Stegostoma tigrinum: one gene and its partner. The protein of the gene in region 1 purifies or fractionates together with the protein of each later gene. This does not show direct contact. Links are inferred from orthologs where the notes say so. Each region holds a gene or a part of one and is shown on either strand. Other genes may lie near its edges.

What was found. The genes of interacting proteins can lie anywhere in the genome.
Region 2: the proteins of plk1 (region 1) and ankrd28b purify together in Homo sapiens (affinity purification with mass spectrometry; 6 studies listed by BioGRID and IntAct, with this or other methods). This does not show direct contact. The link is inferred for Stegostoma tigrinum from reciprocal best matches to the Homo sapiens genes PLK1 and ANKRD28.

What each region holds. Positions count from the first base shown.
Region 1 is NC_081376.1:22,425,830-22,432,852, reverse strand, and holds the start of plk1 (serine/threonine-protein kinase PLK1), read right to left. Parts: upstream 3,071-7,023; 5' UTR 2,901-3,070; coding exon 2,532-2,900; intron 1,783-2,531; coding exon 1,614-1,782; intron 1-1,613. UniProt on the Homo sapiens protein: Serine/threonine-protein kinase that performs several important functions throughout M phase of the cell cycle, including the regulation of centrosome maturation and spindle assembly, the removal of cohesins from chromosome arms, the inactivation of anaphase-promoting complex/cyclosome (APC/C) inhibitors, and the regulation of mitotic exit and cytokinesis.
Region 2 is NC_081355.1:102,767,228-102,774,687, reverse strand, and holds the start of ankrd28b (serine/threonine-protein phosphatase 6 regulatory ankyrin repeat subunit A), read left to right. Parts: upstream 1-4,416; 5' UTR 4,417-5,632; coding exon 5,633-5,755; intron 5,756-6,178; coding exon 6,179-6,262; intron 6,263-7,460. UniProt on the Homo sapiens protein: Regulatory subunit of protein phosphatase 6 (PP6) that may be involved in the recognition of phosphoprotein substrates. Involved in the PP6-mediated dephosphorylation of NFKBIE opposing its degradation in response to TNF-alpha.

The sequences.
Region 1 (7,023 bases):
ACCCTTTTGCTAGATTGGGATTGCCTATTCTAGAACCATGTACATGCAAAACCACCAACAAATCCAGGGAGGTTTGGGCCAGCTCTTGAGTTTTATAGTCAGGAATGGGATACAATAATCTAGAAAAATTAAGCTAGCGTTTAACTGCTCAACTTCTCTATTCATCTTCTGTTAAAATGAAGACGCACAGGGCAGCATAGTAGCTCAGTGGTCAGCTCTGCTTCCTCACAGCACCAGGGGCCTGGGTTCAATGCCACTTTCAGTCTGTGTGGAGTTTGCACATTCGCCCAGTGTCTGTGCAAGTTTCCTCTGCGTGCTCTGGTTTCCGCCCACAGTCCAAAGATGGTCAAACTACCTAACATGCACGGGGGAAATGCAGGGTTACAGGGATAGGGTAGGCAAATGGCTTTGGGTGGGATACTTTCTGAAGGGTCAGTGTGGACCTGTTGGGTCAAATGGCCCATTTCCTCACTGTAGGGATTCTAGTTTCATACGATGCACTTCTGTTGCAAAACTAAGTGTCTCCATCAGATCAGCTGAGGAGTTGCAGTAGAGGTTTAATTTGGATAAATAAATGTGAGGTGCTGGTGCTGGTAAGGCAAATCAGGGCAGGTCAGTTGTACACCTAATGGTAAAGCCCTTTTGAGAGTATTGCCAAACAGAGAGGCCTTGGGTTGAAGGCTCATAGCATAGAAGGTGGAGTTGCAGGTAAACCAGGTAGCGAAGGTAGAGTTTGGTACACTTGCCTTATCAGTCAGTGCAATGAATATCGGAGTTGGGAAGGTCATGTTGCGGCTGTACAGGATATTGGTGAGGCCACTGTTGGAATACTGGTCTCCGTGATAGAGGAAAGGGATCGTTCAGAAAAGATTTACAAGAATGTTGTTGGGTTCAGAGGGTTTGAGCTAGAGGAAGAGGCTGAATGGACTGGAGTTTTCATCCCCCAACCTGGACATTGGAACCTGAGGAATGACCTTATAGGAGATTTATAAAATCATGAGGGGCACAGATATAGTGAATCGCCAAGGTCTTCCCCCCCGCAAGGTATAGGAGTCCTAGATTGGAAGGCATAGGTTTATGGTGAGAGGGGAAAGATTTAAAAAGGGACCTATGGGGCAACTTTTTTTCCACACAGAAGGTGATGTGTGTATGGAATGAGCTGCCAGCAGTAGTAGTGGAGGCCGTCATAATTACAGCATTTCAAAGGCATCTGGTTGGGTGTATGAATAGGAAGGGTTTAGAGAGATATTGCCAAATGGGACTAGACCTATTTACGATATCTGGTTGGCATGGCTGGGTTGGACCGAACGGTCTGCTTCCGTGCTGTACAGCTCTATGACTAAGTGACTGTTGGCTTCATGAACTGGCTAAAGACTATCGACAACCGACTGCAATGCTTTACCTATTTAACAATGAACACAGCAGGCCAAGCAGCATCTCAGGAGCACAAAAGCTGACGTTTCGTGCCTAGACCCTTCAAGGTTCTAGGCACGAAACGTCAGCTTTTGCGCTCCTGAGATGCTGCTTGGCCTGCTGTGTTCATCCAGCTCCACACTTTGTTATCTTGGATTCTCCAGCATCTGCAGTTCCCATTATCTCTTATCATGCTTTACCTATTTTCACTTCCATATCATCATTGAGGAAAAGATTGCCAAGCTTGAGATCTCGATGAATAACGTTGTTATCGTGCAGATATTGGCTGCCCAGGATGACTTGCTTCAGGTAATACCGGGCCTCGGGCTCAGTGACAGCCTTCCGCCTCTTGTGCAATTCTAGTAAAGACTGAATGTGACAATTAACTTGTGATCGGTATTAAAAGAAAACCAGTTCACTTTATAAACAAAATTAAAGAAAAAAACAGTATTGAACTTTTGGCCGCAGCCGATCAGTAACACAAGGCAGTGCCAGCTGACAGAGGAGAGGAGAATCACCAGCTAGACTTAGGGTAGCAACTGTGGCTTTACCGAACCATTTGAGGAATTAAACAGAGTGAGGAGTGGAGATGGGAATAGCACGAAACAGGATCAGACCAACCAGGGGCTGCTCCTTCTGGCTCGCAAGGCCGAAGCTCCGCCTTCTTTAATACGAGGCACCCGCCAGCCAACCGGCTCCGAGCTGCCGCAATTTTAAATACAAACCCCATTTCAACTAAAAAAGACAGCAGCGGGCAGCCCTTCAACCTGGATGGGGGGGGGGGGGGGGAAGAGAACGGACAGGCTGAGCGCTGCCCAGGCCCAGGGCCCTGAGCTGCTGTACCCGGTCTGACAGTGTCCAGTTCCCCCACCTGATCGGTGCCACTTATGGGTGAGACCCTCCCCCAGCCCCAAATTGTTACAGTTGGTTCCAATGGGAGAACGCTCCGACTCGGCTCCATTCACCGGGATCCTTTGTCCCGCAGCTCTTCCCTTCCTCCGCTTACAACCGTCGATCCCGGGGGGAAGAGAGGGGGTGGGGGACGCGGCGGTCAGTATAAACCGGTGCCAGCAGCTCCCGTCAATTCTCCCCCCCACTCCTCAACCCGAGGCACTCACCCTCCGCCTGCATAGCTCCAGGACAACGTAGACGAAGTCATCGTCCTCGAAGAAGCCGTGGAAGCCCACCACGTTGGCGTGATTGAGGCTCTTGTGTATGGAGATCTCCATGGACATCTTCTCCCTCTGGTGCGGCTTCATCAGCAGCGTCTTGGGCACGATCTTCCCGGCGAACACCTCGTTGGTGTCCATGTCGGAGATCTCGTAACACTTGGCGAACCCCCCTTTGCCCAAGAAACGGCCCCGCACGTACCTCTTCATGGTCTTGGGGTTCACCAGGATGTCGGGGATCTCCTTGGCCACCGGAGCGACGACCGACGGGGCCGCAGACCCCGGCTTGGCGGACGGTTTACCGGCCACCGTGGTCATTATTTGACCGGTTCACAGTGCAGACAGGGGGAATGGGGAGAATGGAGTGCCAAATCGAAGTTGAGCAGGGTCTTCTCCGAGTCTGGTTAAAAAGTCGCTGCAAACCGTGTCCGTCCCAGGCCAGATGCTCGGGGGCTCTGATTCAAATCTGGAGCGTCGACAGTTAGCAAGCCGTGCGCCGCTCCTGATTGGCCAATTGTATTTAAATAGAACCCGAGGGCCCGGCTGAATGCCGGGAAAGAACGGTTTAAATGCACCGTGCCGGCTGCTTGGTGACTACGCTGAATGACAGCACCTTCCACCAATCACAGCCGACACCCCCAACCTGTCGGTTCGTTTCTGAGCAACGGAAGGAAAGGGCTGGGATTCGAGCTGCGACCCCCACCCCAATCCCTCCACGTTCTCAAAGCTACCCAAGCATCTCAGTCTGCCCCAGGCTTCTGAAGGCATTGATTGGGTGTAGGACTTCCAAAGTTACTGCTCAGTTGGGAACATCCTTGCCTGAGAGCCTTAAACAAAATAAAATTAGATTAAATGCCTTAAATCGGGTGCTTGTGCACTCCACCTTAGAGGCTCTGGAGCTATAATCCAGACTGACATTGACAGAGATGCTGTTTTACAGATGCGATTTTAAATAGAAACCCTGTCTACTCTCTCAAGCGGACATTCTGGGATTCACCTGGTTCTTTTCCTAACTATTGTGAGTTACATGCATCCTTCCACTTCCACACGATTAGCTCTGATGACCCTCAAAAATCTATTTACACCCCCTTCTTGCCTACATGTTCTCTTTTAGCAGCATCTTCAGAAAACAGGGTTACTTACTAATGCTGACGATGTCCAGCTCTAAGTTGCTAGCACTTTGTTGATTCCTGTATTTCCAATTTGTCAAATTCCATAACTGACATCCAGTAAAGTACAGGTAGAAATTTCCTCCTATTAAATATTGGGGACACAAAAACTCAAACGTAGAAATTAAAAGTTGATTGTATTAGTTTTAAACACATTAATAGGAAAAACTGATTAGCAAGTTTGAGACTCTAGGACTGGTGGCATAGAAAGAAAACTTGGAGGCAGACTTTCAGAAATTACATTAGGAAATACTTCTCACATTAAAGGTAGTAGCAAAACTCTCTTCTACATCTAGCAATCAATACTAAATTAATTTATAATTTCAAAACCGAGATACAGTTTGTCTAAGTGGCAGAGTAGCCTGGGTTTGGATTTGCCCACATGGGACTTTCAAACATTTTCACAATCTTTCCTCAATCTGTTTTATTTGCTCCCTGCCCCCAATTCCTCTTCCCGCTCATGTCTGAGCCTTGGAATTTTTGACCTCTGAAACCCTTATTCACGCCTTCATTACCTCTAGATTCAACAATTCCTGCATACTTTTGGTTGGCCTCCCACATTCTACCCTTGCAACAACTTAAATTCACCAAAATCTCTGCTGTTTGTGTCCTTAATTGCAACAAGTCTGTTTAGCTAATACCTTGTCTTTGCTGACCTAAACTATTTTCTGGTCCAGTAAAGCATTAAATTAAAAGAAATCTTATCTTTATTTACAGATCCTCAATTGCATTGTTCAGCCCATCTTTATAATCTCTGCCAATCCCGTAACTCTCCAACAGACCTGTATTCATCTAAGGTAGGCTGAGGAATGGCTTGATTTTAATTGTTCCATTCTTAACTGTCCTTTGTCATCTTATCAAAGGTATGATATCAATGTAAGTACGTTAAAAAATGGGATGTGGGTATTGCTGGTTAGGGCAACATTTATTGCCCATCCCCAAGAGACAGTTAAAAAATCAATCACATTGCTGTGAGCCTGGAGTCACATGGGCCATACTAAGTAAGGATGGCAGTTTCCTTTCCTAAAGCATATTAGCCCAAATCGGTTTTGCCAAAACAGTGACATAGTCATCAATTGACTCTCAATTCTGGATTTTTATTAATTTCAATTTGCACGATCTACCATGGCAAGATTCTAACCCAGTTCCTCAAAACATCATCTGTCTCTCTGGGTTAATAGTCTAGGGCTAATGCCATTAGGTTGTTACCACTCCGTTATGCTCAGTTTTGGTCATTTTATTTAAGCAGGGACACTATCGCTTTGGAGGCAGTTCAGAGAAGATTCACTTGGCTAATTTCTGGTCTAAAGGAACTTGTCATGAGGAGAGACTGTGTAAGTTGGTTTGAATGCATTATAGTTTTGAAGAATGAGACACATCTTTTTGAAACTTCTAACACTACAGGAACATTGCAAGGTAGAAGCTGAAATAATGTTTCCTAAGTGTGTCGTTTCAAAACAAGGGCTCACCTATTTAACGCAGAAGTAAGATAATATAATTTATTTCAATGCTGTTAACATTTGGAATCCTCTCCCCAACGAGTATTTTTCAAGGCTTAGTTAGATCGTTGGTTGACAAGGGATCAAAAATTATGGGAGAGGGGCAGCAGAGTGAAGATATGTCTATATTAGACAACCAATAATCTTCCTGAGAGACACAGCAGGCTTGAGGGGACTAACGGCCTACTCTACCCGTATTTCTTACATCCTGAAGGCAGGTGACAGTTTGGTCTGTACCAAGAATGGGGCATACTAAGATGGTGTTTTGATCCTTACTGAGGATACAGCATGTTAAGGTAATGCTTACTGCACAGAATGGGTAAGGCAGGTTAGGATCATGCAAGATCAACTTCAGTTTCCTTTGCTCATTAAAGATCTCTTAGGATACAGGTTAGGTTGTTTCTCTAACCTGTCTGGCTGCCACTCAGTCTGAGGCAAATTTTGCCAAAAAAAAACAAAAAACAAAAAAACCCAACAGATAGCCCACACAGAGCCACTCAGATCAATTTAACACACAGACTGGAACATCTTTAAGTCAGTACTGTTTGATTTATTGGCTCCGAGAAATTAGTTGGTACCAAAAGGGTCCTGAAAAACACTCTGGGTAGCCACACCACATAGATGTAGCAACTCACCACCACCTTTCCAAGTGCAATTTGGGATGGCAAAAAAAATCTGGTCAAGCCAGCAAAATGCTGCATTATGTGAAAGAACAAGAAAAACTGAATAGGAGAGAATAAAATAATGAGCTATTCATTGAATAATGATCAAAGGTGCAATATAAACAGAGCAGTATACTGTCAGAAGTGCCATTTTTCAGATAATGTAATTAACTGAAGCAAATATTTACACTTGCATGCCATTACTTGAAGAAAAACAAAGTGTCATGGTCATCACTAGTAAATATCAACTACACTTACAGCTTACATGTAGTTTTCAACACAGCAAGTTATTGCATTCAAAAGCAAAATATTTTATTTTACATTGTTTCAGAATTGTAGTTTGCCATATTATCGAACCCTACACTCCTTCAGCTATGGCTTCCTACACATTGTCTAAACTTATCACCTACCAACAGTGTGGACCCCAACTCCTGAAATCTCTCCCCAAACTTTTTTAATTTCCACAAAAAGTTGTTAAAAGTAGGTTTTGAGCCATCTAGTTCAATACTTTATGTCCTTGTTGTCAACTTAGATTCAGTTACTGAAGTGTTTTGAGATTTTACTGTAGTAAAAGGTAGTATAAAAGATCATTACTTAAGATTTGGCCTGCTCAATTCCCCTTATCCTCTGGGTGGTTCTCTTGGCTCACTGAGGGAGCATATGAAACACGGCAAGATGTAAGACTACTCCAACTGTGGCCTGGTCATGCTGCACAGTCATCACACTGGGAAGACTCCCTTGTCAACCAAGAATACAACTAAGCCTTGGTAAATACTCACAATGGAAAGGATTCCAAAACAGCCAGAATAGCACACTCAAGCAGCCTATCTTTTAAAAATTTCCACTGGCACCAGCAGCAGTAACTGAGGTTAAACAGAATAGCCGTTGGGAGACAAGGTCAAGAAAAAAAAAATATTCAAACTTCGTGCTTCTACTGCAGCGACTTTCTCAATGTAATACAAATATTTCTTTCATAGTTAGTTGAAAAATACGTAAATATTTGAGAATGAAAAAAGAAGCAGCAGGATAATTGGAAAAATGGAACTGCTTTTGTAGAGAATTGTCACTGACACAGTGAGCTGAATAGCCTACTTCTGTGTTGTAAAGTTGT
Region 2 (7,460 bases), on another chromosome or scaffold:
GCATGGCAATTTGTAAAAGCCCAATGAAAGTCTGCTTGAAAATTGGCTGAAATGATTTCTTATTGCAAAGCTGATTTTACTGCAGTGTACTATATGCCGCTATCTCCACAGCATCATGAAGCAAATCTTCTGACCGGTGGTTACGGAGCTGTCTTGTTCATTCAACCTGAAATTTGTCGTTATTAGATTGCCAGGATGAATATGGCTTAAAGGTTTGTTAGAGCAACACATTCTGTTTTTTTTTTAAACTGCTAAATTCCAGTTCTTTGAGGTTTGGAAACTCTCAAAATATTTTGTGTGTTTCATAGCTGAGATAATCAGTTATGGGGATTTCCTAGTCATCGAAGTCACACCTATCATAGACTTCATTCTCAGAAACTAATAAATTTGTGAAGGATGTAGATATATTTATCAAATTACTTATTGAGGCAGTGCATTTTTGGCTGAAGTTGAAATTTGGAAATTGTAAACTCAGCTTGTCTGGGATTGGGATTCCTTATTTATTTTTGCAAGATAAAATGTAATCTATTATGGAGGTAATTTGGTTTTGAAACTCTGACTCATTCAAAATACATGTATGGGTAACATTTAACAGAAAGTGAATCATGCAGCTGGGAAGTTTAACTGTTTTCCTAATGTACAATTTGACAAAATGTTGTCAATGGCTAAAATTGCAATAGCCTTGTATGTGTCTCATGTTGTACAGAATTTACAATTTTTTTTTGGTATTTATTCTCGGAATGTGGGCGCCACTGGTTAGGCCAGCACATATTGCTAATCTCTAATTGCCTTGAGGATATGGAGCTGAACTACCTTCTTGAACCACTGCACCCTATGCAGTGTCAGTGCACCCCACAGTGCTGTAATGGAGGGAGCATTGAAGACTTGATTTATAAGCTCTTCCAGATTGCTTTAGTATAACAGACTTACACTGAAGTTTACCATTGGCTGCATGTATTTTAGAAATTTGTGCAGATACATCAATATAGTAGAAGCTTAGAAACTTGGCATTTGTACTATATAGTTTCAAAGTTATAATCTAATTGATTGGAAACAAATCAGTACTTAAAGCGTCTAATAGTTCTACCAAATTGAAATCCCTTTTTGGTGTAATGAAAATGGGCTTGGTATTATCATCTTTTCAAGCAGTGTAAGTCATTGTGGATGTAAAATCTATGGATTTGGAATAGGAAGCTGATGTCTGGTACTTTTGTCACTTTGTGAAATTAATCAAAATGAATAATTGTCCGTATTTCCACTTCTGTTCTTAGCCACCTGCCCCCTTAACTAAGCCAGTCGTGATGGTCTTCTCACTGTGTGATTGCTAATTTTTTTTGTCTATGTGAAGTTTTGCATCTGAGAACTTGTTGAAGTACAGCCCAGGATAAGTGCTTGCAATCTTTGCAAGCGTTCTGTGTAATGAATTCAAGCAGTCTTAAGTCTTTTGAGTCTGCTCTGCCATTTGGCAAGAACATAGCTGAGCTGATTATCATCTCAATACTACTTTTCTTTCTGCAGCCAGTAACCCTTGACACCCTTACCAATCCAAAGTACTGCAAACGTTTTATTAACCAGCGCCTATGGGACCAAGAGTGTGCCGGTTGACCAAATATTTTTGATTACAAGGACCTCTTGATTATCTATGTAAAAATACAAACTAAGTACTGGAAACATAATGCAGGGGGTATACACATCACTGTTATATTTTATTTACAGCGTAAATCACTTAAATAATTCAATTTTGCCTTAAATAAAACTTATTAGCAAGGCACCTTCTCACTCTCACCCTCACCTGACTACTCGGACATCATATTATTTAAGGAGAGATTGATTTGAATTTGAATCAACTGTTGATATTTTGTGCGGCCATTCGATTGAGCAGTAGGTATGTTTACATAGTCATATAGCATGGAGACAGACTGTGTGGTCTAATTTGACTGCGCCAACCGAGCATCCTTAACAGATGTAGTCCTATTTGCCAGATCATCCCTATTCATGTACCCCCAGATGTCTTTTAAATGTCGTGATTGTACTACCTCCAGCACATCCTCTGGCAGCTCGTTCCATACACGCGATCCATACACCACCCACCAGCCCTTTCTAATTTTTTTCCCTCTCTTCTTAAACCTATGCCCTCTAGTTTTGGACCCCCCCCCCCCCACAAAGACCTTGACTTTTCACCCTGTTGATGCCCCTCATGATTTTATAAACCCCTAGAATGTCTCCACTCAGCCTCTGACATTGCAGGGAAAAAGGCCCCAGCCTGTTCAGCCTCGCTCTATAGCCCAAACCCTCCAGTCCCAGCATCATCCTTGTAAATCTTTTCTGCACCCTTTCAAGTTTAACAACATCTTACCTGTAGCAGGGAGCCCAGAACTGAATTTGGCATTCAAAAGGTGGCCTCACCAATATCCTGTACAGCCACAACACGACATCCCAACTACTACACTTAATAAATTCCTAAACAATATGAAGGATTATTTGAATCTAATGGATTTTAAAAAGTGAACCCAAAACTAATTCAATATATAACTCAGTCGATTTCCGTCAAGGAAAAGAGCAAGCCTGATGTATTTGAGGTGGAAGCAAAGCAAGAGATTATGTCGTAAAAGGGAGTGTACTGAATTGCAGATTAACAGAAGTGGAACCTTGGAGTCCAAGGTGTCAGGACAGGAAGATAAGTTGTTTAAGCAACAGTAAGGGAAACTTACTTTAATAGCTGAGGCACAAATGTAATGTCAAGGAAGTTAATCTGAAACTATATGTAATTCCTCTCATCTGCGGTACCAAATGCAGTTTTGGTAACTGTGTTGCAAGAGAAATGTGATTGTACTGCAGAGGGTACTGAAGAAATTTACAAAGTTGTTGCATAGATTGGTGAATTTTGTTTGAGGAAAGATCAGATCAACTGTGGTTGTTTTGAACGTAAGAGCTTAGGAGAAAATATAATTTATACCATCTATGCGATAAATGTTTTGTTTCTGTCCCTTCAGCTAAAATTCTAATGGTACGTAGCCCAAAATCTTGCTTGCTTTATGGATGTTTGGCCTTTGAATTTTCATATATTTACATGTTTATGTCAGGGTCCTTAAGGTTGAAAATCTCTCTAAGGATATTTGGAGTTTTATTGGGAAGTATGCAAATAATGTTTTCTAATTTCAATTACCATTTTGTGAAGCCAGTGTTGTTACACCAGTGGCTACTACCGTGATCTTAACTAATGATAAAAATTTCGAGCACCCATCTTGGGAGATATCCAAAGCTGGTAAAGATGCAGTTGTGTTGAACGATTTCTTGACAGCACCAATAGGTGACACGATTCATGCTTTTTTTGTAAATTTTGAGACTAGAAAAGCATACCTACCTATAATTAAGATAGTATTGTAATTTTTTTAAATTAATGAGAGGCAGGACATTTCTGGCATTGTAGGGACATTCCAACTTGCCGACTGAATTGGATTAGCTCCAACGAATGGGGATTGGAATTAATCAGACTTGGATATTGAAGCTGAGATTTTTTTTAAAAATAAAATTGAAAATTAATTGAACCAAGTATAAAATCTAATGTGGCATTTAGCATAGCAACTGATATAGTTTGGTGAGATTAATGTTTGATTTATCATGTCTATATTTCCACTTGTTAAGAGGAAAGTTAGCTTTCAGGGTAAGATAAGCTGATAGAACTTTCTAATGCCATGATGGCCTACTCCCTTGACTACTAAAGCAAAAAGCATAGAAAATTTGGGGCAGGTACACCCATTTTTCTTATTTCATCTATAATGAGAAAGAAATATCATGTAAAACTTTGTCATCATCTATTCAATCATTCTGATACAAGAGATTTAATTTGAATTAAAATCTATCCCACAGTGTCTTATGTTTGCTGTACTGTAATATTTGCAGGTTGCATGCTTAAAAATTGGTTTTCCCAGGTATTTAGTAGCAAAACTGGGGTGAAGTTCAAGACCACATTTTTTTCTGTAAAGTGTTTACAGGTTTTTCACGGCCCTCTTTCCCCCCCAAAAGAATCATATTACTGAATCAATTGTCTGTTCATTACCCACTTTAAAAAATGTTGGGGACCTCTGTAAGTAGAATTTGTTAGACAGTTGCCCAAAGTACTACATGCCAAATATCTGTAGGAAATTAAATTTTATTTGCCAGTTTTCACCAGCAGCCATAGTTTTATGAGTACATTGAGAGTTTCTGACATTTGAGCAATGATTTAAGAAATGTTAACCGTTTTGAAGTTATCCATGTTTGTGCATTCTTAGACCTCTGGGAACTGTACGGAAGAAGTACTGTTAATTGCCTTTTTAAAAAAGTGAAACAGATAAAGGATTACTCATAATGTTGTACCCTCCCTGTCGTAGTGAGTCAGCAAAGCCAACAAACCATTTTCCCTTGCAGCTTTGAATGGAAACTGTTAACTTGCAGCTATTCTGCAATAAAGCTGCCTTAACGTCAGACAAGTAATTTATTCACATCTCTGGCATGCAGTTGAAATTGCAAGGGCAGCCAGAAAGCAGCACGCTAGAAGAAGCTACCAGAATTCTGCTGCTCTGTCTGCATTCAGCATATATAAAGCTGAAATGGTGGCTATGCTTTGGATATCTGCTGACTGCTTTTTAGGTTATGGATTGGATTCGGTGAAACAATAATTGATCCCTAAAGCAGGAAACTAGCAGTTCTGGATTGTCAACTTGAATTGGCAGACTGACAGAAGCTTGACTTCAAGCACATGGGAAAATACCACAGACGGCGGCTTTTTTATTACAGTCACAGTATTGAAGATTGAAGCTCCTGTACTTGCGTCAGTTATCTGAAGGAAATTCAGTGACTGCTGCCTTGGATTTCTGTATTCAAGATTTTTCAGGATAATTCCAGTTTCTTATTTGTTGAAGTGAACTGGCCTACATGTTTCCAGCTCATTGAATTGCCTGTCGGAGTTTCTGCAGTGACTAGCTGCTGGAGAAAAGTGACTGCTCGGCACAGCACAATCGCCAATGGAGTAATAGATGTATTTTGTTTCTGGGTCACACTTGTATAGCCCACCTTGTTGTATGGGCTATCCTGTTTATTTTCTGTTCATGGTTTCTTTCTGTCCTTTTCCTCTTTCTCTCTGTTGTGCTCTCACTCTCATCTGGCCTGTGTTTAATTACACTGCAGTGGAGTTAATTAAATGAATTTTCATTTGAAATTGTTTTGTACTTTCTCCTGGATACTGCTTCAGCCTGACGAAAATCTGTTGATTGGGAAAAGAAGTCTTGAAGCCTTCTGATATGGAAAATGCTCAGTTTCTCTCTCTGTAAATCATTTGAAAATCTAAACTACATGATTTGCCTGCTTTTCTATTTAAGGAATGGTGTCATGTCACCCATAACAACAGCTACGCTGCATAGAGGCTACTCTGTCAAATAAGGAACCAGCTCAGCAGTATCAGTGTGTGTGTTGGCAATAGCGCTGAGTTTACTCCGGAACTACTTATGTAAACCATATGGATAAAACTGGCATAAATCTCTAGCATAGTCACTTGTTCTCAGTGACAATAGGATTGTTATTTTCCATCAAAACGTGCAAGTGTTGTTTGTGAATCAAAGATTACGAAAGTAGTGTGGAAACAGGGGATCGGATGAGCCGAGTGTGTATTGTTGTACTGGAGGAGGTGGACGATGATTCTCCTGTTATTACTTCTAAAAAGCTTCAGGAAAAGTACGAGGATGCATCAAAGTCACTTCCACCTGAAGATGGAAGGGTGAGCATATCTCAGCTTGTCTAATCATACCTGCAAAAGTATTGCATCAGCTTCACACTGATAAGATGTGCAAATCCAGGTTTTATCTGCTTTCTTAATATAAATTTGTAATATGAAAAAAAAATATGCAGAGTCCAAACATTTGCATCTTAAAGTTTGGTTTTTGGCATTTGTTTGACATAAGCTGAGAAAGTTGCATGTATTGACATTTTGAATTGAATTGTGTATCAACAGTTTCTAGGAATATAGACCACACTTAGAGAAAATTCATACTGCTTATTCCATTTCCCACTGATATTTGAGTGTTTGGGACCCTACATACAGTTATGTGATATATGTGGTCCATATTTGTCAATTAGTGATGTCACAGTCATATAAATATTTTTATATTTGTATAATCTTAAGTTTCTTTCAATGTTGCAGCCGCCACTGGTTCAAGCTATTTTTAATGGAGATCCTGATGAAGTCCGCAGTCTCATTTTCAAAAAGGAGGATGTTAATGTCCAGGTACGTGTAATTTAATTGTTTGCCTGCGACCATCCCCTCAAACCACCGCCATCACCACCACGTCCACCAACTCCCCCACCCAACAGGTGTCCTTGTGCATCACTAAACTGTTCAAAGCCTGTCGGTTTTCAGTTGCTACAGAAGTGACTTGAAAAGCTAAAAGAGATCATCAGTACTCTTGTCTCAGTTCTACCTAGTGTTACTTGATGTATCTATTGATGAACAAAATTAATGAAATTTTCAGGATGAATACCTGTTATAATACGTCAGAAATTCTAATTCAGGACATATGGCTCTTATGACATTATGCATCCGTATCTGGAATTTCTTTTCCTTTTTAGTTTACATATTTCCATACATTCTAATGGTTTAGTAGGCTAGCTTGGTTTGCTAACCAGTGTAGCTGATTGTTCATGTTGATTAAACCATTTAGTGTATCAAAACCGGTTTCCTCAATCTTGCTTTCACTTCCCTTTTGTATATATAAGCAGATGAGGAATTTGGTTACTGAGTCTCATCAGGATGCTCTCAAGGACTTCCTGTGGCTTGCTAAAGGAATACCTGTGCCTCCTATTGAAAAATATGCCAAATATCCTCGATGAAATTACTTGTTTAAAAAGACTTTAAGTTGGATATTTGCTATTTGTTGCAGCGATACTTAGCAAAATTCCAAACCGGTCACCTGGAGACCAGTTTTTAAAAGCAGGAGTCAAATGTTTAAGTTCCATCCTTGATCTTTGATAAATTTGAACGTTTGCATATTTTTTCTCTTGTTCCCAATTTTTACATAGAAGTGGTTGGGAGGAGATTTAAATATGATTCTAGAAACACCAACAGTAGTTATGGCAGTTACCATTTTTGTGACCTCTATTAAGCTGCAAAAAGTGTTTTATAATGTTTGGGAGTACTCTGTTTGTATGTCTTCAACTTCATATATACAGACCAATGGACGTTCAGAACAGAACAGATTTTTATACATCCATCTGCTGGTATCTATTATAAAATATAATATTTCCTATTTAAATTTTCTGTGCTTTACATACAACAAGTTTTGTGGTGTCTAATGTTTTGAACATAGACTTTTTGATTCTTACTAAATTGAAACAGACTTAGATCCAAATTCTCTACAGCAGACATTTATTTATTCTCTGAGGAAGAATACGAGTCATGCCAGATATCGTTTTGACCCCTCGTTGAT